Macaca mulatta: one gene and its partners. The protein of the gene in region 1 interacts with the protein of each later gene in a pairwise test. Links are inferred from orthologs where the notes say so. Each region holds a gene or a part of one and is shown in the gene's direction. Other genes may lie near its edges.

Region 1 (5,172 bases):
GTATAGTGCAAAATTCTGCTGCCCAATTCAGAATTAAAGAGTGTGGCTGGCAGGTTTGGTGGATAGGCTACGTGGATAAATGGAAGTACCAGGTTTCATTGATTTTTCATTTGCTTTAGTTAGATGTGTCATTTCTTCTATTTCGTACTTATTTTAGTGAAGGCAACATTTCAATTATGTATTTAAGTAAATATTTTATTATAGATAGTAAAAATTTCAATAATTTACTAATATTTAAATTTTTATTTGTAAGTGAGTACAATACTAGAATGCACAGTGAAACCTAAACTCAAAAAAGCTGTATTGTTATATAGTCAATATGAAAAATATATATGATGAAAGGCTTTTGCAAATGTCATAGTATGTCTATTATTTTACATTTATTTTCTCTTGAGTAATCAGCATCGTTTAAATATGTCTTTGGATGATTGTGGGAAAAATAAAAGTGTCTTAAAAACTACTCATCTACATTATAGTTTATGGATATGTTATAAACATAATAAGACATACAACTTCTACCATTAGAATTTATAAGTCAATTATTAACATAAAAAGAATCCCCAAATTTACCCTAACCAGAGCATCAGATGGCAAATCCAGAATTAGCAATAAAACTCCTAGATTCCCTTCTTCCCTATGCTTTTATTTGCTTATTATAATGAAGGGCCTTTGGGGCGAGGGTATTTTTACTAACATATATAATGGGAAATCCTGCTCGATAGTCAAGGGAAAAGGACCCATCTTTGACTTATTTTTTTTCATTTTTTGCTCTCTGTGGTAGCCCTAAGAATGTACTTCACAGACCTCCAACTACAGGCAACCTAAATGACCAAGGGTCCCAGCTGCTGTTCTCTGAAATCCACTGCTGCTTTTGTGCTGAGCACTTGTTTCCCAAAGGCTGCTCCCAGCCAGTGATTGAGAGGAACAGGGATACTAAAGCTGGCCCCTCCGTGTCCTTGGGAGTCACCTGGCTCTAGCACTTCCTGATGGGCTTACTGAACCTTCCTTAGAGGGTGTAGCAATCTGGGATGATTCTACTTAACCTTGCTTGCACCTCTCCACCACTCTGTGTCAAACTTGCATTGTTTTTTGTCAGCTTTTCTAGTCTTCCTTGGCTCCCTCCTCATTTTATATTACAGGAATTTTCCTTAATGAAATTCTTGCATGTTCAGTCTTGTCTTCACATTTATTTTCAGAGGTCCTAGACTAACACATTCTCTATTTCTATAAAAAGATACTATCATATGTAATTACTAAGGAAAAAAGATGTTTACTATAATTTTAATGGTAATATTCTGATACTACTAGATTCTCAAATTTAGGGAAGTCAAAACTTCATATAATTGAGAGCTATCCTCAGAAATGTATGCTTATATTAATTTATTGATAGTCTCTATGTAAACTTGCTTTCAGAAGGACTGAATTGCTACCACAGTAAAATCAGGAGCTCATGTTCTCAGAAAATGTTAATTTACTCAGGATGATTAGATGGCTATAAAGTAATAAGCAATCCATAAGTCATCTCTGAGATATGAGAAATTAAAAGGAAATATTTCTGAGGGTGTGTTGATAACTGATATTTTGTTGAAAAGCAGAAAAATTCAATACAATAGGTAGGAGTAAGTTTGTTTTTTGCAAATTGGTAATTCTTGCTTTCATTTTGTGTGACTTACAGGAGAGTGCTTGTTCTTTATATGTTAGTGTTAAAATTCTTCTGTCTTTCTTTGCAGAGTCATAGTGAAAGATTCGTTTTCATTGCAGAGTGGTATGATCCAAATGCTTCACTTCTTCGACGTTATGAGCTTTTATTTTACCCAGGGGATGGATCTGTTGAAATGGTAAATAAGTCTTTCTTTGCTTGAATGTCGGCAAAGGGGGTGAACATGGGAACCATTGCCTTTTATATAATTGCTTTTTAAAAACACATTTATATGTGTGTGTGTGTGTGTATATATATGGAAATTCTTTTTAAAGATATTCATTATAATTTCAATATAAGAAGTTAACTTGTGCCTTTACTTTTAATGTCAAAGATAGGAAATTTTTTTTGTTGTTGTTAGAAGACTGAAGTGGGGGTCGGGCACGGTGACTCATGCCTGTAATCCCAGCACTTTGGGAGGCTGAGGTGGGCGGATTACTTGAGGTCAGGAGTTCGAGACTAGCCTGACCAACATGGTGAAAACCTGTCTTTACTAAAAATACACAAAATTAGCCGGGTGTGGTGGTACATGCCTGTCATCCCACCTACTCGGGAGGCTGAGGCAGGAGAATGGCTTGAACTCAGGAGGTGGAGGTTGCAGTGAGCTGAGATCATGCCACCGCACTCCAGCCTGGGGGACAGAATGAGCCTCTATCTCAAAAAAAAAAAAAAAAAGAAAAGAAAAAAAAAAGACTGAAATGGGATTATTCATGTTTTGGATAAGAAATAACCAATAAGTGATTATAGATAAGGATTATTATGGTCATAAATATGTCCTCATTATTGAAAGCTGTTACTGCTACAAAAAGTCAAATTGAGAGGATCAAGCTAAGAGGCTTCTGTTTATTTCTTTGTGTTTCTTCATTGGCAACACAATTTTAACAAGTGGATCTTTTTGGTATTGGGATTTTGTGTACACAAAAAAGCAGAAATTTGGGTGTATGACTCTTTCTTTAGCATTTTGTAAGGACTACTGAAATGATTTGGTAATAAACAGATCTTTCTATTCAGGGTTTTAAGAGTATTAAATGTGTAATAAAAAGCTTTTATGTTATTACCAGATTGGATTCAGAAATATGGAAGTAATTAAAAATTATGATTTATATTTGTAACAAAAAAGAAACAGAATATAACTTATCTTTGATAAGACAGAATTAAGAATTATTTCTACCTTATGATAAGATTAACTTTCCTTATTCATAAATTTTGTTTGTTTGTTTGTTATATTCTTGTGTCTGGTTCTAGCATGATGTAAAGAATCATCGCACCTTTTTAAAGCGGACCAAATATGATAGCCTGCACTTGGAAGATTTATTTATAGGCAACAAAGTGAATGTCTTTTCTCGACAATTGGTATTAATTGACTATGGGGATCAATATACAGCTCGCCAGCTGGGCAGTAGGAAAGAAAAGTAAGAAAACAATTATATAATCTTTTTACATTTTGTAACTTTGGGTTCAAAGTCAATCTGAATCAAGACTGGGAGTATTTAACCATATGAGGATGGATAGGACCTGGAAAATGGTTGTCTTCATTCTGTCTTTTTCTTTTTTTCAATTAAAAAAAATTGATAATATCATAGTTGTACATGTCTCATCTGACTTAATTCATATTTATGTCTCCTATGCAACTTAGTACATCTCAGAGATACAGTCATCTGTAAAAGGGGCTAAGAAAAAAACGGAAGTGAGAAAGAACAACTTGTAGATACAGCTGAAAATTAGACTTATAGAAAACAAGGACTTCTGATGTTTTCCTTCTGAATATTGATTTTCAGTATTTTCAAGATGACTTTTTAACTTTTAAATTCTCTACATTTATGAATTTCAACTTTCTGAGATTAGAATTAATTATATTTGAAATGAAAATTTAAGTCCTTTGTCATCTCTTTTGGATCTAATTTCTGTAGCTTATATTTTGTATGGTTTGGGGACTTTTTTTTTTTTAACTGTAGAGTGATTGGTGCTATAATTAAAATAGGGATTATTTGTAGAAGTTAAGGCTATATGTATAAAAGGTTCCAAAAATGATTTAATTCAATAGGAAAAACAAATCAGTCACACTATTTTTTGAGATCTGCTACTCAAATGACTAGTTGATTGCCTAACATCTGAGTCACTCTCATAGTAATGAGATATCTCTTTCTGTGACTTCCATAGTCTTTCTGTATAAGCACTTTATGGTTCTTGAGGTGATTGGATTCTCAGTGTGGGTGTTAGTACACAAAGGGTGATGGATCAGAGGGGTGGTGAATGCCTCGTAACAAAGGAAGACCAAACACTTTCTTTGAAATAGGATAAAAATTACAGGTATTAGATAAATAAACAGGAATCTTTTAATGTTGTGGGATCTTATGTAAAAGTCTATGGAATTAAGGAAATGCCAACCATAATTCCTTGATTTAAAACTAATAAATATGTGTAGCATTCATTTATGGAGCACATACTATATGCCAGACACTCTAATATGCACTTTACATACACCTCAGTTCAAGACTGCTTTATTTTATTTAATTATTTTTTTAAGCGGGGTCTGACTCTGTCATCACCCAGGCTGAAGTGAAGTGGCATAATCATAGCCCACTGCACCCTTGACTTCCCATGCTCAAGTGATCCTCCCATCTCAGCCTCCCAGGTAGCTGGAACTACAACCATGCACCACTATGCCTGGCTAATTTTTTGGTATTTTGCAGGAGATGGGGTTTGGCCATCTTGCCCAGGCTGGAAGACTACTTTAAATTTTTATTTAAACTAGCAAAATAAGTGAGTTAGAGAGTCAGGGTTAACAGTCTGACCTAAGAAAAATAAAATATCAGCCATAAAAATCATAATTTTTATATTTTAACTATGATTTGACTGAAGTGAATGTTGTTAAATCTATTTAATAGAATGGGTAAGTAACTAGTCCACAGTAACACAGCTAGAAAGTAAAGGGAAACCAGAAAACCATGTTTTGTTTTTCTCTAAAATTCATTCTCTTTCTACTAAACCTCTAATTAATATGCTGGCAAATACTGTTGAATGGGACTGATTTTAAAACAGGATGAACAGAAGAATTCTATTTTAATGTAAAAACAAATTTGAAGTATTTGGGCTTTATATAGTTACTGAAAATATACGTAGTATATATTTTACTGACTCAAATTGATTCACCATTTTCTTTTCTTATTCTTTCTTAATTGCATATGGGTTAGTAAATCCAGCAACCATTTGGGTAATTTAAATAAACTTCCTCCAAACCGAAGAGTTTCAAAAATGTATTGTTTTATTTAAATGGCCAAAAGTAAGCATATGGAAATATATGGGTATGTGTATCAGCGTTCCACAGAAACACCTTCTGTGTAACAACTGATTTAGTCTAGTTCTCAGTTTTGTATAGTGTTGAAAAAAATTTATGAACTAATTACATTTTCAACTCTTTTCTTTCTATAGTAAAGCCTGTAGTGAGGAGGATGAGTGAAATTGATCCCCAT
Region 2 (5,966 bases), about 86 Mb from region 1:
AATCTTCAAAACAAGGTGATAACCTGTATAGGGCATACCTGTCTCTCAAGAAAAAGCTTGAGCCAGAGGCAAGAACTCTGGGAAATTGGTTTCTCTGGTGCTAGTTGTTTTTGGTGTGAGTAGGTGTGTGTCAGGGCACCCAAACAGGGCCTTTATTCTGTCACCCAGGCTGGAGTGCTGCTACTTTTTTAGGGTGTGTGTGAGAGAGAGAGACAGGGTCTCTGTCGCCCAGGCTGGAGTGCAGTGGCACAGTCATGGCTTACTGCATCCTCGAATTCTGGGCTCAAGCGATCCTCCTGCCTCAGCCTCCTGAGGAACCAGGACTACAGGTGCTTGCAACCATACCTGGCTAATTTTTTGTAGAGATGGAGTCTCACTTTGGTTCCCAGACTGGTCTCAAACACTCCTGGGCTCAAGCGGTCTCTGGCCTCTGCCTCCCAAAGTCCTGGGATTACAGGTATAAGTGACCATGCCCAGCCTCTCTGCTACTTCTTTTTTTTTTTTTTTTTGAGATGGAGTCGCTCTGTCACCCAGGCTGGAGTGCAGTGGCACAATCTCGGCTTGCAACCTCCGTGTCCTGGGTTCAAGTGATTCTCTTGCCTCAGCCTCCCAAGTAGCTGGGATTACAGGCACCCACCACCACGCCCAGCTAGTTTTTGTATTTTTAGTAGAGATGGGATTTCACCATGTTGGCTAGGCTGGTCTCGAACTCCTGACCTCAAGCAATCCACCTGTCTGGGCCTCCCAAAGTGCTGGGATTACAGGCATGAGCCACCGTGCTCAGCCTCTCTGCTACTTCTAAGCTACTAGATGGGGTTTTAGTAACTAGTTTACTAAATAGGACAGATAGGACACAATTAACTATTTGTGGCTATTGCTGCATTTATAGACTGGGATAAGCCCTGATTTATTTGATTAGTCCTCATTCTGTGAGTGACCTCTCCTCTGTGTTTTTCAGGGTTAAAGCACGAATTGGGAGCTCTCAGCGACACCACCAGTCAGCAGCCAAAGACCTAACTCAGTCCCCTGAGGTCTCCCCAACAACCATCCAGGTGACATACCTCCCCTCAAGTCAGAAGAGTAAACGTGCCAAGCACTTCCTTGAATTGAAGAGCTTTAAGGATAACTATAACACATTGGAGAGTACTCTGTGATGGAGCTGAAGGACTCTTGCCGTAGATGAAGCCAGTCAGTTGCAGTGTGCAAGACAGGCTGCTTGCCGGGCTGCCCTGGGGACATCTGACTCAGCAGGCCCAGACTGTATCCATCGAAGTTCCCGTTGTATCCAGAGTTCTTAGAGCTTGTGTCTAAAGGGTAATTCCCCAACCTTTTCTTATGGGCATTTTTAGAACATTGGCTAAGACTATTTTCCCCCAGTAGCACTTTTTTCTGGATTTGCATTCAGGTGTTATTCTTAATGTTTCTGTCAAAGCTTCTTAAAAATCTTCACTTGGTTTCAGCCAGTTCACCTTCCCTGTTCCAGGTTTATTTAATTCCAAAGGTGAGAGTTGGAGAGAGATGTCTTCCATATCTATACCTTTGTACACAGTTGAATGGGAACTGTTTGGGTTTAGGGCGTCTTAGAGTTGATTGATGGAAAAAGACAGGAACTGGTGGGAGGTCAAGTGGGGAAGTTGGTGAATGTGGAATAACTTACCCTTGTGCTCCACTTAAACCAGATGTGTTGCAGCTTTCCTGACATGCAAGGATCTACTTTAATTCCACACTCTCATGAATAAATTGAATAAAAGAGAATGTTTTGGCACCTGACATAATCTGCCAGGCTATGTGACAGTAGGAAGGAATGATTTCCCCTAACAAGCCAATGCACTGGTCTGACTTTATAAATTATTTAATAAAATGAACTATTATCAAATAAAACATGAATCAGTCCTTTATAGTTGTCTTTTAATAAAACAGGCATTTGATAATGTTATCTGCACATTTCTAACAGGGTATAAGGCGTGAGGATTTGCCTCCAGAGAATTGGTGGGACTGTGTGCATACCCTGGACCTAGGACCATACAGATACTCCTTGGGACCCTAGCACAAGAAATCCTAAAATCAGGACTGTGACCCTTGCTCATAGAATTGCCTGTGTCATCAACAGAAGGATGCAGAACAAGGATTCTTTCAAGGTTTCTGGGGCAACAGGCCAGGTGGCCAATCAACTCCTAGGCCCAGGGTTATTGTTGGAGGCGTAAATGTTACTATGACTACTGAAACCTTGGTTACTGAACTAAACAGAAAGAGGAGCCTGTCAGTCTCCTCAGGCTGTATCAAGCAAATCTGTAGATATGTCTGTGGAAAAGATGACAAAAGTAGAAGAGGTACGCAGAGTTGGAAGGAGGGGCTGGGCTGAAGTTTGATGAGGTTTCCAGATCAATTTTTTTTTTTTTTTTTTTTTTTTTTTTTTTTTTGAGACGGAGTGTCGCTCTGTCGCCCAGGCTGGAGTGCAGTGGCGCGATCTCGGCTCACTGCAAGCTCCACCTCCCAGGTTCACGCCATTCTCCTGCCTCAGCCTCCCGAGTAGCTGGGACTACAGGCGCCCACAACCGCGCCCGGCTAATTTTTTGTATTTTTAGTAGAGACGGGGTTTCACCGTGGTCTCGATCTCCTGACCTTGTGATCCGCCCGCCTCGGCCTCCCAAAGTGCTGGGATTACAGGCGTGAGCCACCGCGCCCGGCCCCCAGATCAATTTACTATAAGTGCATCTTTTACTGGGAAAGGCTTTTGATGTAACAAGGGTACAATGTAGTTAGTAACAGGAGGGGAGGCTATGTCTAGAACATAGTAGGTATTCAAATATGTGTTCCATCCAACCCCTGTATGTTTTCTTTGATCCATTCTGAAAGTAGAGCTTTCCTCTCCCTATTTCCCCCTAGGAAATTGCTTTCTCAAAAATGTCTATGTGGCTGGGTGCTATGACTCATGTCTGTAATCCCAGCACTTTGGGAGGCTGAGGCAGGCAAATCACCTGAGGTCAGGAGTTCGAGACCAGTCCGACCAACATGGAGAAACCCTGTCTCTACTAAAAATACAAAGTTAGCCAGGCGTGGCAGTGCATGCCTGTAATCTCAGCTACTCAGAGGCTGAGGCAGGAGAATCACTTGAACCCGGGAGGCGGAGATTGTGGTGAGCCGAGATCACGCCACTGCACTCTGGCCTGGGCAACAAGAGCAAAACTCTGTCTCAAAAAAAAAAAAAAAAAAAAAAAAAAGTCTATGTCTCTCATTAGAACAGGGTTCTAGGGGTGAGGTTCTGGAGACTGAGGCAGATCAACAGAACTACGTTTTCTTGCAGAGTTTTCAAAGGGCCATGGGACTTAAGAAGATGGTTGACAGGTAATCTGCTTCTATCCCCTCCCTTTACCTTTCAGCTTGACCTTTCCACTCTGCTGTCTTCCCTGGGCCATCTCCCAATTCTGCTGCATCTCTTTAGGGGCTCATTAAGAAGGAAAAGAGATGCAGAAGGGGTGAGAAGCAGCCTTGTCCTCAAAGCAAATGAGATCAGCCTGTTAGTGCCCAGTAGGTTAGGTGATATAGATTGGTTTTTATTGTCCCCTGCCTCTCATTCTCTGGAGGAAAATTGAAGCATGTTTTTATTTTCTTTTTTTTATTAAGAATTCAAGTATTTGTTGCCTGGCTTTGTACTAATTATGTGGTTGGTAGTGCAGTATTTGTTGAATCAGTGAATGAGAAGATTCACAAGACTGGGCTACATAGCCTTTTCACCCTGATGAGCTTTTGAAAAAACACTGATGCGGCCGGGCACGGTGGCTCACGCCTGTAATCCTAGCACTTTGGGAGGCCGAGGCAAGAGGATTGCCTGAGATCAGGAGTTCATGACCAGCCTGGGCAACATGGGGAAACCCTGTCTCTGCTAAAATACAAAAGAAATTAGCCGGGCATGGCGGTGTGTGCCTGTACTCCCAGCTACTTGGGAGGCTGAGGCAGGAGAATTGCTTGAACTCAGTGAGCCAAGATCGCACCACTGCACTCTAGCATTGCAGCCTGGGCGACAGAACAAGACTCCGTCTCTACAAAAATAAAAAATAAAAATAAAAACTGATGCAAGCCTGGCATGGTGGCTCACACCTATAACCTATAATCCCAGCACTTTGTGAGGCTGAGGCAGGGGGATTGCTTGAGCCCGGGAGCTCGAGACCAGCCTGGGCAACATAGGAAAAGCCTGTCTCTGCCAAAAAAATTAAAATCAGCCAGGTGTGGTGGTGCATGCCTATAGTCTCAGCTACTCAGCAGACTGAAGCAGGAGGATCACTTGAGCCCAGGTCAAGTGATGCCACCACTGCATTCCAGCCTGGGTGAGAGAGGAAGACCCTGTCTCAAAACAAAAAATGGGCTGGGCACATTAGCTCATTCATGCCTGTAATCCCAGCACTTTGGGAGGCCAAGGCAGGTGGATTGCTTGAGCTCAGGAGTTCGAGACCAGCCTGGGCAACATAGCAAGACCCCCATCTCTACCAAAAAATTTAATTTAAATAAATAAACACCGATGCTTAGTTCTTAACCCTAGGAGATTCTGATTAAAGTGGTCTGAAATGGGATAGGAGAAGCCTTTTTTTAAGGTTTCACAGGTTATATCCAGAGCTAGCAAGGATGTGAAGAAACAAGAACACATGGCCGGGCGCGGTGGCTCAAGCCTGTAATCCCAGCACTTTGGGAGGCCGAGACGGGCGGATCACGAGGTCAGGAGATTGAGACCATCTTGGCTAACACGGTGAAACCCCTTCTCTACTAAAAAATACAAAAAACTAGCCAGGCGCAGTGGTGGGCACCTGTAGTCCCAGCTACTTGGGAGGCTGAGGCAGGAGAATGGCGTAAACCTGGGAGGCGGAGCTTGCAGTGAGCTGAGATCTGGCCACTGCACTCCAGCCTGGGCGACAGAGTGAGACTCCGTCTCAAAAAAAAAAAAAAGAACACCACATGATTTCAATAGGAGTCTAGGTTGATACAGCCATGTTTACAAAGGCAGTTTGATAAAATCTATCAAAATTTAAATTTACATACCCATTGAACTGGCAAAAATAGGAATTTATCTTAAATATACATACTTGGAAAAGCACTAGAAGGTACATACACAAGAATGTTCATGACAGTATTGCTTTTATATATATATATATTTATTTATTGAGACAGAGTTTCGCTCTTGTTGCCCAGGTTGGAGTGCTGTGGCACGATCTCAGCTTGCTGCAGCCTCCACCTCCCGGGTCCAAGCAATTCTCCTGCCTCAGCCTCCCGAGTAGTTGGGATTACAGGCGCCTGCCACCACACCTGGCTAATTTTTGTATTTTCAGTAGAGTCAGGGTTTCACCACGTTGGGGTTTTGCCATGTTGGCCAGGCTGGTCTCGAACCCCTGACCTCAAGTAATCTGCCCGCCTCGGCCTCCCAAAGTGCTGGGATTATAGGGGTGAGCCACCACACCTGGCCTGATTACATGTTGTTTTTTTTTTGAGACGGAGTCTCACTCTGTCGCCCAGGCTGGAGTGCGGTGGTGCCATCTCGGCTCACTGCAAGCTCCGCCTCCCGGGTTCATGCCATTCTCCTGCCTCAGCCTCCTGAGTAGCTGGGACTACAGGCACCCGCCACCTCGCCCGGCTAATTTTTTTGTATTTTTAGTAGAGACAGGGTTTCACCGTGGTCTCGATCTCCTGACCTCGTGATCCACCCGCCTCCGCCTCCCAAAGTGCTGGGCTTACAGGCGTGAGCCACCGCGCCCGGCTGATTTCATGTTTTTTAAAAAAGAAGATGTACTTCCCAGTTTATGATAGAAACATTTTCTGAAAACGTGCACAAGTAGCTGGGTGTGGTGGCTCACACTTGTAATCCCAGCACTTTGGGAGGCCAAGGCAGAGAATCACTTGAGCCCAGGAGTTTGAGACCAGCCTAGGTAACATAGTGAGACTCCGTCTCTACAAAAAATAAAAATTAGCCAGGCACACAC
Region 3 (5,885 bases), on another chromosome or scaffold:
ACATCCCACATCCCCTCCTGCCTGATGGGCAGCACCCCCGGTCCGGTCTGGAGTCTCCCGGGGCCCTTCCTGTTCTCCTTGTTAATTTATTTTCTGTCTTGGAGGGAAGCTGGGTGGACCTGCTCAGGCGGCCCCCTAGGGCCAGAAGACCTGTTAGTCACTTTCAAATACATGTTCTTTCCAGAGGTTCTAAAAACACTGTTGTCCCTCTCACCCAGAAAGCTAAGCTTCTGTTCAGTCCTTAACGGTAGCTATAAATGAGAAGCACAGCTTGGTTTCCTTCTAATATCCGGCAAGTTAGAAGACAGAAAGTATTCATTTACGTATTCATCACATATTTGCAGGGCAACCCTACACGGGACAGCAGAGGTCCCACGCGGGCGCTGCACCCGGAGCCAGGCTCAGTTGAAACTCACCGGAGGCGCGGCCGCCCTGGGCTGGGAAGAGGCCGTGGGCCCAGGTGGCATCAGAACCCACAGGAGGGAGGCAGCTGGCCCAGGAGGGGTCGGGGCAGGCCTTTGGGGATCGTGAGAGTCGACCCCATCCTCCCTGAAACAAGGTCGAAGATTGAGACGGTCCCTGCCCAGTCCCGCAGCTGACAACACGGGGAGAAGCCGCACCTGCCAGGGTAGGGACCGCGGGGTGGGCTCGGGCCTCCGTGGGGCCGGCACAGGGACCCTCTCCTCTCAGGACCTCGGCCCTCATCCCCGGGCACCGGGACTCACAGGCGGATGGGCCCAGGTGGAGACCAGGGTGTGAAGGGGAAGGAAGCGGGGCGGGTGGAACGGGGCCGGATGCGGGGGTCACGGGGGACGGCGGAGCCCGGACTTTGTGATGCAGGAGACGGAGGGGACTGGTGATGGAGGACTGGAGGCCGCGAGGATGGGGAATGGGGACGTTCTTTTCACCTCCCACGGCTCACCCGGATGCGCCTCCGCAACTGCCCGCCCCAATCCCAGGGCGGAGGCCTCGCGCAAAACCCAGGCGCCTCGGCTCCGCGCTCCGGCTGAGGGTCTGCGCCGCCGCCCGCCCGCTCCTTCTCGCTCAGCCGCGGCCCCTGGGGAAGATACTGTGGCGCCCGGTTCCAACTGAGGCCTGTGGCGGGTAAGGCCGGGAGACTGAGGCGGGTACAGAGGCGGGTACAGAGCCGGAAGCGAGGGAGGGGATGCAGTCGTCGCCCAGGTGGCTGCGTCCGGAGGAGGCCCCGCGACTCTACCCTGTCCTATCCCCCGCCAGCTGCTGAACCAGGCGGCCAGGGACTGCATGGAGCACGGGGCTTGCCCGGGAGGGACCGTCCCTGGGGTACTGGCCTGCTGGGGCGGGGTCCCTATGGTGTCAGCAGCCGCTTGTCCGCCGCAACACCCGCAAGGCCCGCACCCAGGCTCTGGCCCCAAAGGTGGGCACCAGGCCCAGGCACTGCTGGCCTGCGCTGCAGACCCTGATCTGAGCCAGCACTTGGTCCCCGCTAACAGGTACTCCAAACACAACACCCCTCCCCTCATGCTGCCCCCCGACATCCTAGCAATGCGTGCAGAGCCCAGGAGCATGGCGGTCCTCCCCCAGGCCTACCTCCCCGCACCCAGGGCCTGGACGCCCCCCGAGGCCTGGACACTCCCACCGCGGGGCTCCATCCCCGCTTCTACGCCCCCAATCCAGGTACACAACCTTCAGCTGCAGAACCCTCCTGCCTCACCTGCCACTTCCCAGCGCCTCCCCCAGGCCTAAGTCCTTGATGCTAGAGGTTAAACCGCACCCCCCTAGGCCTGCGTGGGCCTCCAAGATGCTGAGGGCACCCTGATCCCACAAAAGCCGAGGGTTCCTCTGCTCTCCAGCCCTGAGGCCTCCGCCCCTGGGCACCCGATCTCCATGGAAACCGAGGGCCCTTTCCCACTCTTCCTGCAGGCTTGGCCCCATGAAGATGAACTAGGCACCCGCGACGTGCTTGGCTCTGCTACCGGCGGCCGCTTTCCTCTGAGTCAGCGGTGCAGCCAAGGGCAGCCGCGGAGGGCTCCGCGGGGGCTTGATAGGGGCCTCGAGGGTGCGTGTAAGGCCGGCCCGGCGCTATGGTGCCGCGGGCTCCTCGCTGCGAGTGGCTGCGGCCGGAACGGCCGTGAGGGCGGCAGCGGGCCTGGCAGCAAGTTCAGGCTGAAGAAGGGCCGCGGGACCCGGGGAAGGCGACCTTGGAGGACGATGAGGACTGGGTTCCTGGAGGCAAAAGGACCGGCCTCGGCAACTACACCTACCGGGCGTGGACTTTGGGCGCTGGACCCACGCGCGGCCCCCACTTCTGTCTCGTACTGGGCGGCGCCCTCAGCACCCTGGGGCTGCTACGGCCCTAGGCCTGGCTGGGCTCAGGGGCGACATCTGGCCCCCAGCCCGCGCCGATCCCCAGGCTCCTCTGACCTGGGCTCCCCCTTCCTCCCTTGCCCACAGTCTTGGAGCCCCAGTTTGTGCAGGAACTGCAGGCTGTCCCTGTGGACCTGCCATCCACCGTCCTGCCCACGCCCCCTCAGCCTCCTACCTCCCACCTAGAGGGGATCACGAGCCCTGCCCCACCCCTTCCAGGATGTTAGGGTACCCTCAGTCAAAAAGGCAGCGGCCTGTGGCTCCTGTACCAACGGCCCAGCCACGCTCCAGAGCTGCCCAAAGGGAGGTGCCAAGACCAGGAACACAAGCCACCCCGGCTCCCCCACCTGCCCTGGGGCTGTGGTGACCCATGGGCAGGGAGGCGACCTCAGGCTGGTTCTGCCCCGAGATCCTGAGGAATCTGACCCTCCCCAAAAGAAGCAATGAAATGGACCAAAGGACTTAAGGATTTGCAGGGAAGTGAGGGGAAAACGGTAGTTGCTAACCACCTGCCCAGAAGAGTACACCTCACGGCCCAGAAACACTCTCAAGCAAGAAAACCGTCTCTCCAGGAACCCTAACCAAAACCCTAAGTGCAACCCCTACCACTAACCCCTGACCCTAATGCTGACCCTTAATCCTAACCCCTCACCCTAACACCTAATGTCAAACACGAACCCTTAATCCTAACACTAACCCCTAAACCTAAACCCTAACCCTAACCGATACTCCAATCCCAAGGAAAAGCACTAAACCCCTAATCCGAAACCTTAAGCCTAAACCCTAAACCTAACCCACAAACCTGAGCCCTGACCCCAACACTAATGTTAACCTCTAAGCCCCAACCCTAACCCAACCCCAACACAAACCCCTAACCCCTAATTCTAACCCTACCGGGCGTGGACTTTGGGCACTGGACCCACGCGCAGCCCCCGCTTCTGTCTCGTACTGGGCAGCGCCCTCAGCACCCTGGGGCTGCTACGGTCCTAGGCCTGGCTGGGCTCAGGGGCGACATCTGGCCCCCAGCCCGCCCCGCCTAACCTGACCCCTAACCCTTAAATCCAACCCTAACCCATGACCCAACACCTGAACCCTAACCCTAACCTCAACCCATAACCTCAACCCCTACCCCAACCCTAAACTCTAGCTGCAGCCCGAGCCCGAATCCTAATGCTACCATAAACCTAACCCCCGAACCCAAACTTGAACCCAACCCCTACCCCTAAAACCCTAAGCTAAACTGAAACCACAAACCCTAACCCCTAACCCTACTGCTACCCCTAACCCCTAACCCCTGAAGCTAAACCTAACCATAACAACGCTAAACTTAAGCACTAACCTAGCCCTACCCCTACACTAAGCCTTAACCCAACTGTAACTCCTAACACTAACCCTAACCTCTAAACCTAACCCCTTACCCTAAACCGTAACCCCTAACCCTAACCCCAAAACCAACACCTAACCCTAACACCTACTCTAAAACACTAACCTCTAACCCTAACAATCCTTAGCCTAACACCCAAACCCTAACCCTGACCCTAATCTTCTATCCTCGAAACCCTAACCCCAAACCCTAACCCTAACATCCTAACCCCAACCCTAAAACCCTGATCCTAACCATTAAACCCTGACCCTAACGATTAAACCCTGACCCTAAATGCTACCCCTACCCCAACCCTGGACCAACCCTAACCCTACCCCTAATCCTTCCCCATCCCTAACGCTAACCCCAAACCCTAACCCCACCCCAACCCTAAAACGAACTTCTAACCCCTAAACCCTAACCCAAACCCTAACTCTACCCCAACTCTAACCTTTATCCCTAACTCTAACCTGTAGCCCTAACCCAAAACCCTAAGGTAACCTTTTATAGGTTGGGATTCGAGGCTTTGTATTTAGGACGGGCGGGTGTTCTGGTGTCTCCCACTCACCCGCACGGGAAGTTCTTCTGTTGGTTCTTCACAACCAGTCACGGTGCATCGCGGCCTCCCCTGGCCGGTGAAGGGCTGGTTCTCCCGAAAGCCTCGGCTCCTCCTCCCTCCTCCCAGTGCCCTCCAGGCCTCCCCGGTGGCCCCAGCGTGGCAGGGCCCGTGCAGAAGGGACCGTGGGCTTGTGGCCGGCATGGGCCGCTGTGGGCATGGAGCTCACGGGAACGCGGCCTAGGGGCAGGCTGCGCTCCTCTGCGCCAGCGGGAACAGCGGGCCCCGCGGGGGCTGCCACAGACGCGTCACTTGCTGGGGTCCGTGCACTCCCGCGGTGGCGTGGCCAAGCAGAGCCGCGACCCCGTGAGGTTGCCGGGGCCATGGTGCCTCGTGGAGTCCTCCGTGAGACACGCACATTTCACAGGCAGTTGCTGCCTGGCACACGCGCACTGGTCGCTCGTGGTGAGGGCCTCCAGAACCAGGGCCGGCCCCCCTCGGAGGCCAGCACACATGCGCGTGAGCACCCAGAACCGGGCCAATCGCGAGCCTGGACGGCCGGACGTGGCCCTCGCGGGCTTTGTAACCCTCGGGCCTTTACGCATGCGCACTAGCTGCCAGGCAGGCCGGCCGAACATTACTTCACATATCCAGAGCGCGCGCGGGGGTGCATTGCGCAGGCGCGCTGCCTGGAGTCCCGCCCCCTGCAGGGGTTGCTCCAATCACCACTGGAGGCTCCCTCCCAAGCCACCCGCGCTGCTGAGCTGAGAGGAAATGGCGGGGAGGTCCCTGGCGTCGAAGGCCGAGCCCACCGCCGGAGCCACGGACGGGGCTGAGAAGGCCGAAGGTAGTGGAGGGAGGCAGGGAACTGTGCGTGAGGGTCTGACCTCGCCGAGGCGGGGCAGGGTTGGGGCGCGGGTGGCGACTACTTCCTGTCAGTCCTGATGGTGCTGACTGAGACTTAGCGGGTTTCTTCAGAAAACTTTCCGCCAAGATGAGGGAGTGCTGGCCCGCACACCCCTCACTTCGTCTTAAAGCATTGAACCTTTATCGTGGTTGCTCCAATTTTGGTTTAGGTAATTAGTCAAAAGACATCCTGTCGTTCCACAGACTTTCCATACACACCTCTTAAAACAAAAAGGACATTTTCCTGACGCTCCCAATCCCAAGGGAATTCCTAATTCCACACTCCTCTTTCTAGAACCAGCAAGTGTCCAGATTTCCCGGTCGCACTAACCTGGTTCTTGACAGTGGGTTCCCCCACCCAGCATCCCGACGCCCCGGGGAGCCGGGGGAGGCCGACTCCCCGCAGATCTCCCGTTTGTTTCTCCCCGACCCCGACCTGCCGTAGAGGCTCCTACCTCACCCTGGGAAGGGAGGGACAAGGCAGCTGGTCAGAGTTGTACAGAAGTCCCGAAATTGCAGCCCAACAAAGAGAAAGAACACTGTCCTGGCCGTTTCCACTTCAGGACGCTGTGTACCTCTGGGTGTTTTGGGAGAATTTTCAAACTTACACAAAAGTGGAGAGAATTGTACGGTGACGTCCCTCCTGCTGTCACTCAACTTGTCACTCTGTCCTGAGCTCATGTGTCCCCCCTGAGTTAAAACGCTGCAATTAAC
Region 4 (5,925 bases), about 210 Mb from region 1:
CTGTCATCACAACTCCTACAAATGCAATCGTATCCTGAATTCAACCTCTTTCTCTAAATGAATGTAGCTATTGTTCCCTTTGTGCCCTCTTGTCCTACTGTCCCTTCTGTTGCCCATGCCAAAGACAGCTAGCTCCTTGAACAGCTTGGCCTGAATACAGATACTAGCATGTCTGCAACAGAGAAAAAAAACAGCATTCCCCATCCAGCAATGCAAGATCAAGAACAGAGAGCAAATTAAATAGCTAAGGACTCATGTCCTTCGTTGGTGTCCAGGGGCCACATTCTTTCCTTTCACCATCTCTGTAGGGACAGGAATACTTCCCTTCTGTCCTCAGAGGGTCAGGACTCAGAGAAACCACAGAGCAGCAGCTAAGGAAAATGGTTCATGGAAATGCTGGAGAGAGAGAGGGGTTAAAATGCCCTCCCTTGGGAGCAGGCTGCTCCCATTGGATCGTAGCCTCTCTGTTATGTGGGCAGAGCTACCAGGGTAAGGTCCTCCCTAGGGTTTGCAAAACCCTCATGGGATCATGAGCCATATAGAACTGACCTGTGGGTCTCCAGTGTGTAATTAACACAGGCATTTTGAGGAAATGCTTGGCCTCAGGCCCCACTCCCGGCTACCCCCATCCCACCATGCCTAGCACAGTCTAGCTGCCTGGGTACAATTCTCCCAGTATCTTGCAGGCCCCTATTTCCTATTCCTACTCTGCTCATCTGGCTCTCAGGAACCTTCTTGGCCTTCCCTTTCAGACCTCTACAGATGCCAGCCTTGTGGGAAAGAAGAGTGGGCACCTGAGGGAAGCCAGACCTGCTTCCCACGCACTGTGGTGTTTTTGGCTTGTCAAGAGCACACCTCTTGGGTGCTGCTGGCAGCTAACACACTGCTGCTGCTGTTGCTGCTTGGGACTGCTGGCCTGTTTGCCTGGCACCTAGACACCCCTGTGGTGAGGTCAGCAGGGGGCCGCCTGTGCTTTCTTATGCTGGGCTCCCTGGCAGCAGGTAGCGGCAGCCTCTATGGCTTCTTTGGGGAGCCCACGAGGCCTGCATGCTTGCTGCGCCAGGCCCTCTTTGCCCTTGGTTTCACCATCTTCCTGTCCTGCCTGACAGTTCGCTCCTTCCAACTAATCATCATCTTCAAGTTTTCCGCCAAGGCACCTACCTTCTACCGCGTCTGGGTCCAAAACCATGGTGCTGGCCTGTTTGTGATGATCAGCTCAGCGGCTCAGCTGCTTATCTGTCTAACTTGGCTGGTGGTGTGGACTCCACTGCCCACTAGGGAATACCAGCGCTTCCCCCATCTGGTGATGCTTGAGTGCACAGAGGCCAACTCCCTGGGCTTCATACTGGCCTTTCTCTACAATGGCCTTCTCTCCATCAGTGCCTTTGCCTGCAGCTACCTGGGCAAGGACTTGCCAGAGAACTACAACGAGGCCAAATGTGTCACCTTCAGCCTGCTCTTCAACTTCATGTCCTGGATCGCCTTCTTCACCACGGCTAGTGTCTACGACGGCAAGTATCTGCCCGCGGTCAACATGCTGGCTGGGCTGAGCAGCCTGAGCAGCGGCTTCGGCGGGTATTTTCTGCCCAAGTGCTACGTGATCCTCTGCCGCCCAGACCTCAACAGCACAGAGCACTTCCAGGCCTCCATTCAGGACTACACGAGGCACCGCGGCTCCACCTGACCAGTGGGGTCAGCAGGCATAGCTGGTAGCTTTCTCTGTCCTGAGGGTCGAAGGTCAAGCAGGCCAGGGCTGTTTGGGAGGCCTTTGGGCACCTCAGTCTGGGGTTGGGACGTGTAAGCGCCCGGGAGAGCCCAGACCAGGCTCCGGGCTGCCAATAAAGAAGTGAAATGCGTATCTGGTCTCCTGTCGGGGAAGAGGGTGAGGTGCCGCGGATTCAAGTCTGAACCCAGAACCTGGAAAAGGCTTGGTGCCCAGCTTGACGTTGCTAGGCAACCCCGGAGGCGGGCCCAGCGCCAAAAGAACAGGGCGTGGCCTCATCCCCTCATCCCATTGGCCGTTCTCTGCGGGGCCCCGCCCTCGGGTGCCGGAGCTAGAAGATCTACGCTTCCGAGGCGCCCCTCCTGGCCGGCACGCTCTGACGTCACGTCCGGCGCGGAGACGGCTGCGTCTCCGCACGGTCGGCGGGGCACGCATAGCCGGGCAGTTGGTTCGTGGGCTGTGGAGGCGACGGAGCCGGGGGCTGGTGGGGCCAGCTCAGGGAGGACCTGCCTGGGTGAGGAGGGCACGAGGTGAGGGAGGGAGGGGCTGCGGGCCGCCGTGGCTGCCTTCCGCTCGGCCGCTCGGGACCTGTGGGCGCGGCGTGGGCTCCGCTTACCTGTCCGCGGCCGCCGTCCTCCCCAGTCCAGGATCCTCTCACTGTGCCAGGCCAGTCAGTTCGCGCTCATCCCGTGCCTTCTTTCCCCAAACTTGGATTTTTCCCACCAGGCCCTTCTTCATGACCCTGACCCCCCCATCAGCATCCCCCCTGGCCAACCCAATATGGCCCCCGGTCCCCGGGAGGCTGTCAAGTATGTTCCTGCCTTCCGCGTGCACCCCTCACCTTGACCCAAGCCCTCGTGCTGATAAATGTGATTATTTGAGTGGAGGCCAACTTCCCCTTTCTCTCTCTTCGACTCCAGGGGCTTTCTCTTGCATACGCTCGCTTGGGCTGGCCAGGGTGTCACTTCTGCCTCCCTGCCCTCCAGACCATGGACGGCTCCTTCGTCCAGCACAGTGTGAGGGTTCTGCAGGAGCTCAACAAGCAGCGGGAGAAGGGCCAGTACTGCGACGCCACTCTGGACGTTGGGGGCCTGGTGTTTAAGGCGCACTGGAGTGTCCTTGCCTGCTGCAGCCACTTCTTCCAGAGCCTCTACGGGGATGGCTCAGGAGGTAGTGTCGTCCTCCCTGCTGGCTTCGCTGAGATCTTTGGCCTCTTGTTGGACTTTTTCTACACTGGTCACCTCGCTCTCACCTCAGGGAACCGGGATCAGGTGCTCCTGGCAGCCAGGGAGTTGCGAGTGCCAGAGGCCGTAGAGCTGTGCCAGAGCTTCAAGCCCAAAACTTCAGTGGGACAGGCAGCAGGTGGCCAGAGTGGGCTGGGGCCCCCTGCCTCCCAGAATGTGAACAGCCTCCTCAAGGAGCCGGCAGGCTTGCAAGAAGAGGAAGTTTCGAGGACTCTGGGTCTAGTCCCCAGAGATCAGGAGCCCAGAGGCAGTCATAGTCCTCAGAGGCCCCAGCTCCATTCCCCAGCTCAGAGAGAGAGTCCCTCCTCCCTCTGTGGGAAACTCAAGCAGGCCTTGAAGCCTTGTTCCCCCGAGGACAAGGAACCTGAGGACTGCAAAATGCCTCCAAGGCCCTTCGAGGCTGAAGGTGGCCAGCTGCAGGGCGGGAGTAATGAGGTACTGTGCCCAGGGTGCTGGGACTGGGGAGACAAATGGAGGGAATAGACACTTTTTTTGGTATAATAGGGACCCTGGGCTGGGTGTGATGGCTCATTCACGTGAGTGGTTCAAGTGGAGGACGACAGGGATGGACGAAGTCTATTTGTAATCCTAGCACTTTGGGAGGCCAGGGTGGGTGTGGATCACTTGAGCTTGGGAGTTCGAGACCAGCCTGGGCAACATGGCGAGGCCTCATCTGTACAAAGAAAATACAAAAATTAGCCGAGTGTGGTGGCACACACCTGTAATCCTAGCTACTTGGGAGGGTGAGGTGGGAGGATCACTTGAGCCCAGGAAGTGGAGGTTGCAATGAGCTGAGATGGTGCCACTACGCTGTAGCCTAGGCGACAGAGCAAGACCCTGTCTCAAAAAAAAAAAAAGTGGACCTTAAGACAATCTCTGTTAATGTGGGTTTGGAACGGGCTTTCTCCAAACAAAGGAAGCTGGTGATCTCAGGCTGACCTTTCTGCAAGCCCCAGCTATTCATGGTTGCCACCTTCCTGAGAGGAGTGGGCAGCATCAGGGTTACAGGTGTTTCCCCAGGATAGTGTTTCCATCCGAGCTTCCAGTTCCCCACAAATACAGTCACTTTCCTCTGAATCCAAGACTCAGATGCTCTGCCTTGGGCCCCTGAAGGAACAGTGTCTGATGAAGGGACTTGTCAGGGTTGGGGCTTGGGATGGAACTGGAGCTGGGTCCCTACAACTCCTGCTGATTCATTTGGTGACCCCACCCCCTCCTGCTGCCTATTGTGCTCTAGTGGGAAGTGGTGGTTCAAGTGGAGGACGACGGGGATGGTGATTACATGTCTGAGCCTGAGGCTGTGCTGACCAGGAGGAAGTCAAATGTAATCCGAAAGGCCTGTGCAGCTGAGCCAGCCCTGAGTGCGGGCTCCCTAGCAGCTGAGCCTGCTGAGAACAGAAAAGGTACAGCGGTGCCGGTCGAATGCCCCACATGTCATAAAAAGTTCCTCAGCAAATATTATCTAAAAGTCCACAACAGGTAAACTTTCTGTTTTTCTATTTTCCTGTCTGCCATTCCCGCGTTGGGGGAGGGGTCTTGCACGTCCCACTTCTGGGTGAGGTAGGGGCTGGGGGATCCATCTCAGACCCACATAGTGCCTGGCCTTGGCACACCTCTGGCAATCAGGAAGTGAGAGTCTGCTTTGGGTTAGATTCTTCTTCCTCACTGTCCTGTGAGTACTGTGGTTGGAGATGGGTTTGTGGACATCTTGTCAACAGGTTCCACCCACTGTGGACCTTGACCTTCAGCTGGCCTCTGCGGACAGAATGAGAAACCTGTGGCCCGTGTGCTAGAGCTGAGGCCCAACCTTAGGTGTTTCTGAAGCCCGGCAGTGTGGGCTTGAAGCCTGGCAGTGTGGGCTTTGGGCCACAATGCTGAGCCTTGGGTCAGTGCTACCTGTGTTTCCAGGGAAGTGTTCACTCTGGGGTGTCAGTGGAGTATTAAAGTCCAGTTGTCTAAACCTTCAGTGTCCAGTAAAGTAACCAGGAACTCCAGGGGCTATTAAAATTTTTATTTTTACATTTAGTGGAGACAAGGTTTTGCTATGTTGCCCAGGCTGGTCTCAGACTCCTGGGCTCAAGCGATCCACCCACCCTGGCCTCCCAAAGTGCTAGAATTATAGGTTTGAGCCACCATGCCCAGCCCCCAGGGGCTATTTTATGTTTTTGAGTTGGAGTCTTGCTCTGTCACCAGGTTAGAGTGCAGTGGCACGATCTCAGCTCACTGCAACGTCTGCCTTCTGGGTTCAAGCGATTCCTCTGCCTCAGCCTCCAAAGTAGCTGGGATTACAGGCATGCGCCACCACACCCGGCTAATTTTTTGTATTTTAGTGGAGACGAGGTTTCACCATGTTGGCCAAGATGGTCTTGATCTCCTGACCTTTCGATCTGCCCGCCTCGGCCTCCCAAAGTGTTGGGATTACAGGTGTGAGCCACCATGCTCGGCGTATGTTTTTTTTTATTTTATTTTATTTTACTTTATTTTTTTTTTGAGACGGAGTCTCACTCTGTTGCCCAGGCTGGAGTGCAGTGGCATGATATCAGCTCACTGCAACCTCCACCTCCCAGGTTCAAGCGATTCTTCTGCCTCAGCCTCCCGAGTAGCTAGGATTACAGGTGCCCGCCACCACGCCCAGCTAATTTTTGTATTTTTAGTAGAGATGAGGTTTCACCATCTTGACCAGGCTGGTATTAAACTCCTGACCTCGTGATCCACCTGCCTTGGCCTCCCAAAGTGCTGGGACTCACGGAGTCTCTCCTCTCCACTCACCCAGGCTGGAGTGCAGTGGCTCCATCTCTGCTCACTACAACCTCTGCCTCCCAGGTTCAAGCAATTTTCCTTTCTCAGCTTCCTGAGAAGCTGGGATTACAGGCGTGTGCCACCACACCTGGCTAATTTTGTTTGTATTTTTAGCAGAGACGGGGTTTCAGCATGGTGGTCAGGCTGGTCTTGAACTCC

What was found. The genes of interacting proteins can lie anywhere in the genome.
Region 2: the proteins of NME7 (region 1) and CFAP141 interact in binary tests that used the Homo sapiens proteins (3 or more experiments, as listed by UniProt). The two-hybrid records come from large-scale screens. The link is inferred for Macaca mulatta from reciprocal best matches to the Homo sapiens genes NME7 and CFAP141.
Region 3: the proteins of NME7 (region 1) and SYCE1 interact in binary tests that used the Homo sapiens proteins (3 or more experiments, as listed by UniProt). The two-hybrid records come from large-scale screens. The link is inferred for Macaca mulatta from reciprocal best matches to the Homo sapiens genes NME7 and SYCE1.
Region 4: the proteins of NME7 (region 1) and ZBTB48 interact in binary tests that used the Homo sapiens proteins (3 or more experiments, as listed by UniProt). The two-hybrid records come from large-scale screens. The link is inferred for Macaca mulatta from reciprocal best matches to the Homo sapiens genes NME7 and ZBTB48.

Annotation. Positions count from the first base shown.
Region 1 is NC_133406.1:26,834,285-26,839,456, reverse strand, and holds part of NME7 (nucleoside diphosphate kinase homolog 7), read left to right. Parts: intron 1-1,730; coding exon 1,731-1,838; intron 1,839-2,944; coding exon 2,945-3,111; intron 3,112-5,172. UniProt on the Homo sapiens protein: Possesses an intrinsic kinase activity. Displays 3'-5' exonuclease activity with a preference for single-stranded DNA. Does not seem to have nucleoside diphosphate kinase activity.
Region 2 is NC_133406.1:112,822,244-112,828,209, forward strand, and holds the start of CFAP141 (cilia- and flagella-associated protein 141), read left to right. Parts: upstream 1-2,162; 5' UTR 2,163-2,297; coding exon 2,298-2,330; intron 2,331-3,304; coding exon 3,305-3,345; intron 3,346-5,871; exon of another isoform or gene 5,872-5,950; intron 5,951-5,966. Other genes in the region: C1H1orf43 (protein C1orf43 homolog), read left to right, coding at 959-1,154. UniProt on the Homo sapiens protein: Microtubule inner protein (MIP) part of the dynein-decorated doublet microtubules (DMTs) in cilia axoneme, which is required for motile cilia beating.
Region 3 is NC_133414.1:145,691,657-145,697,541, reverse strand, and holds the start of SYCE1 (synaptonemal complex central element protein 1), read left to right. Parts: upstream 1-2,081; 5' UTR 2,082-5,039; coding exon 5,040-5,112; intron 5,113-5,885. UniProt on the Homo sapiens protein: Major component of the transverse central element of synaptonemal complexes (SCS), formed between homologous chromosomes during meiotic prophase. Requires SYCP1 in order to be incorporated into the central element.
Region 4 is NC_133406.1:234,202,601-234,208,525, reverse strand, and holds the start of ZBTB48 (zinc finger and BTB domain-containing protein 48), read left to right. Parts: upstream 1-2,121; 5' UTR 2,122-2,253; intron 2,254-2,643; 5' UTR 2,644-2,712; coding exon 2,713-3,402; intron 3,403-4,204; coding exon 4,205-4,446; intron 4,447-5,925. Other genes in the region: TAS1R1 (taste receptor type 1 member 1), read left to right, coding at 753-1,684. UniProt on the Homo sapiens protein: Plays a critical role in transcriptional regulation and chromatin remodeling. Acts as a regulator of telomere length. Directly binds the telomeric double-stranded 5'-TTAGGG-3' repeat.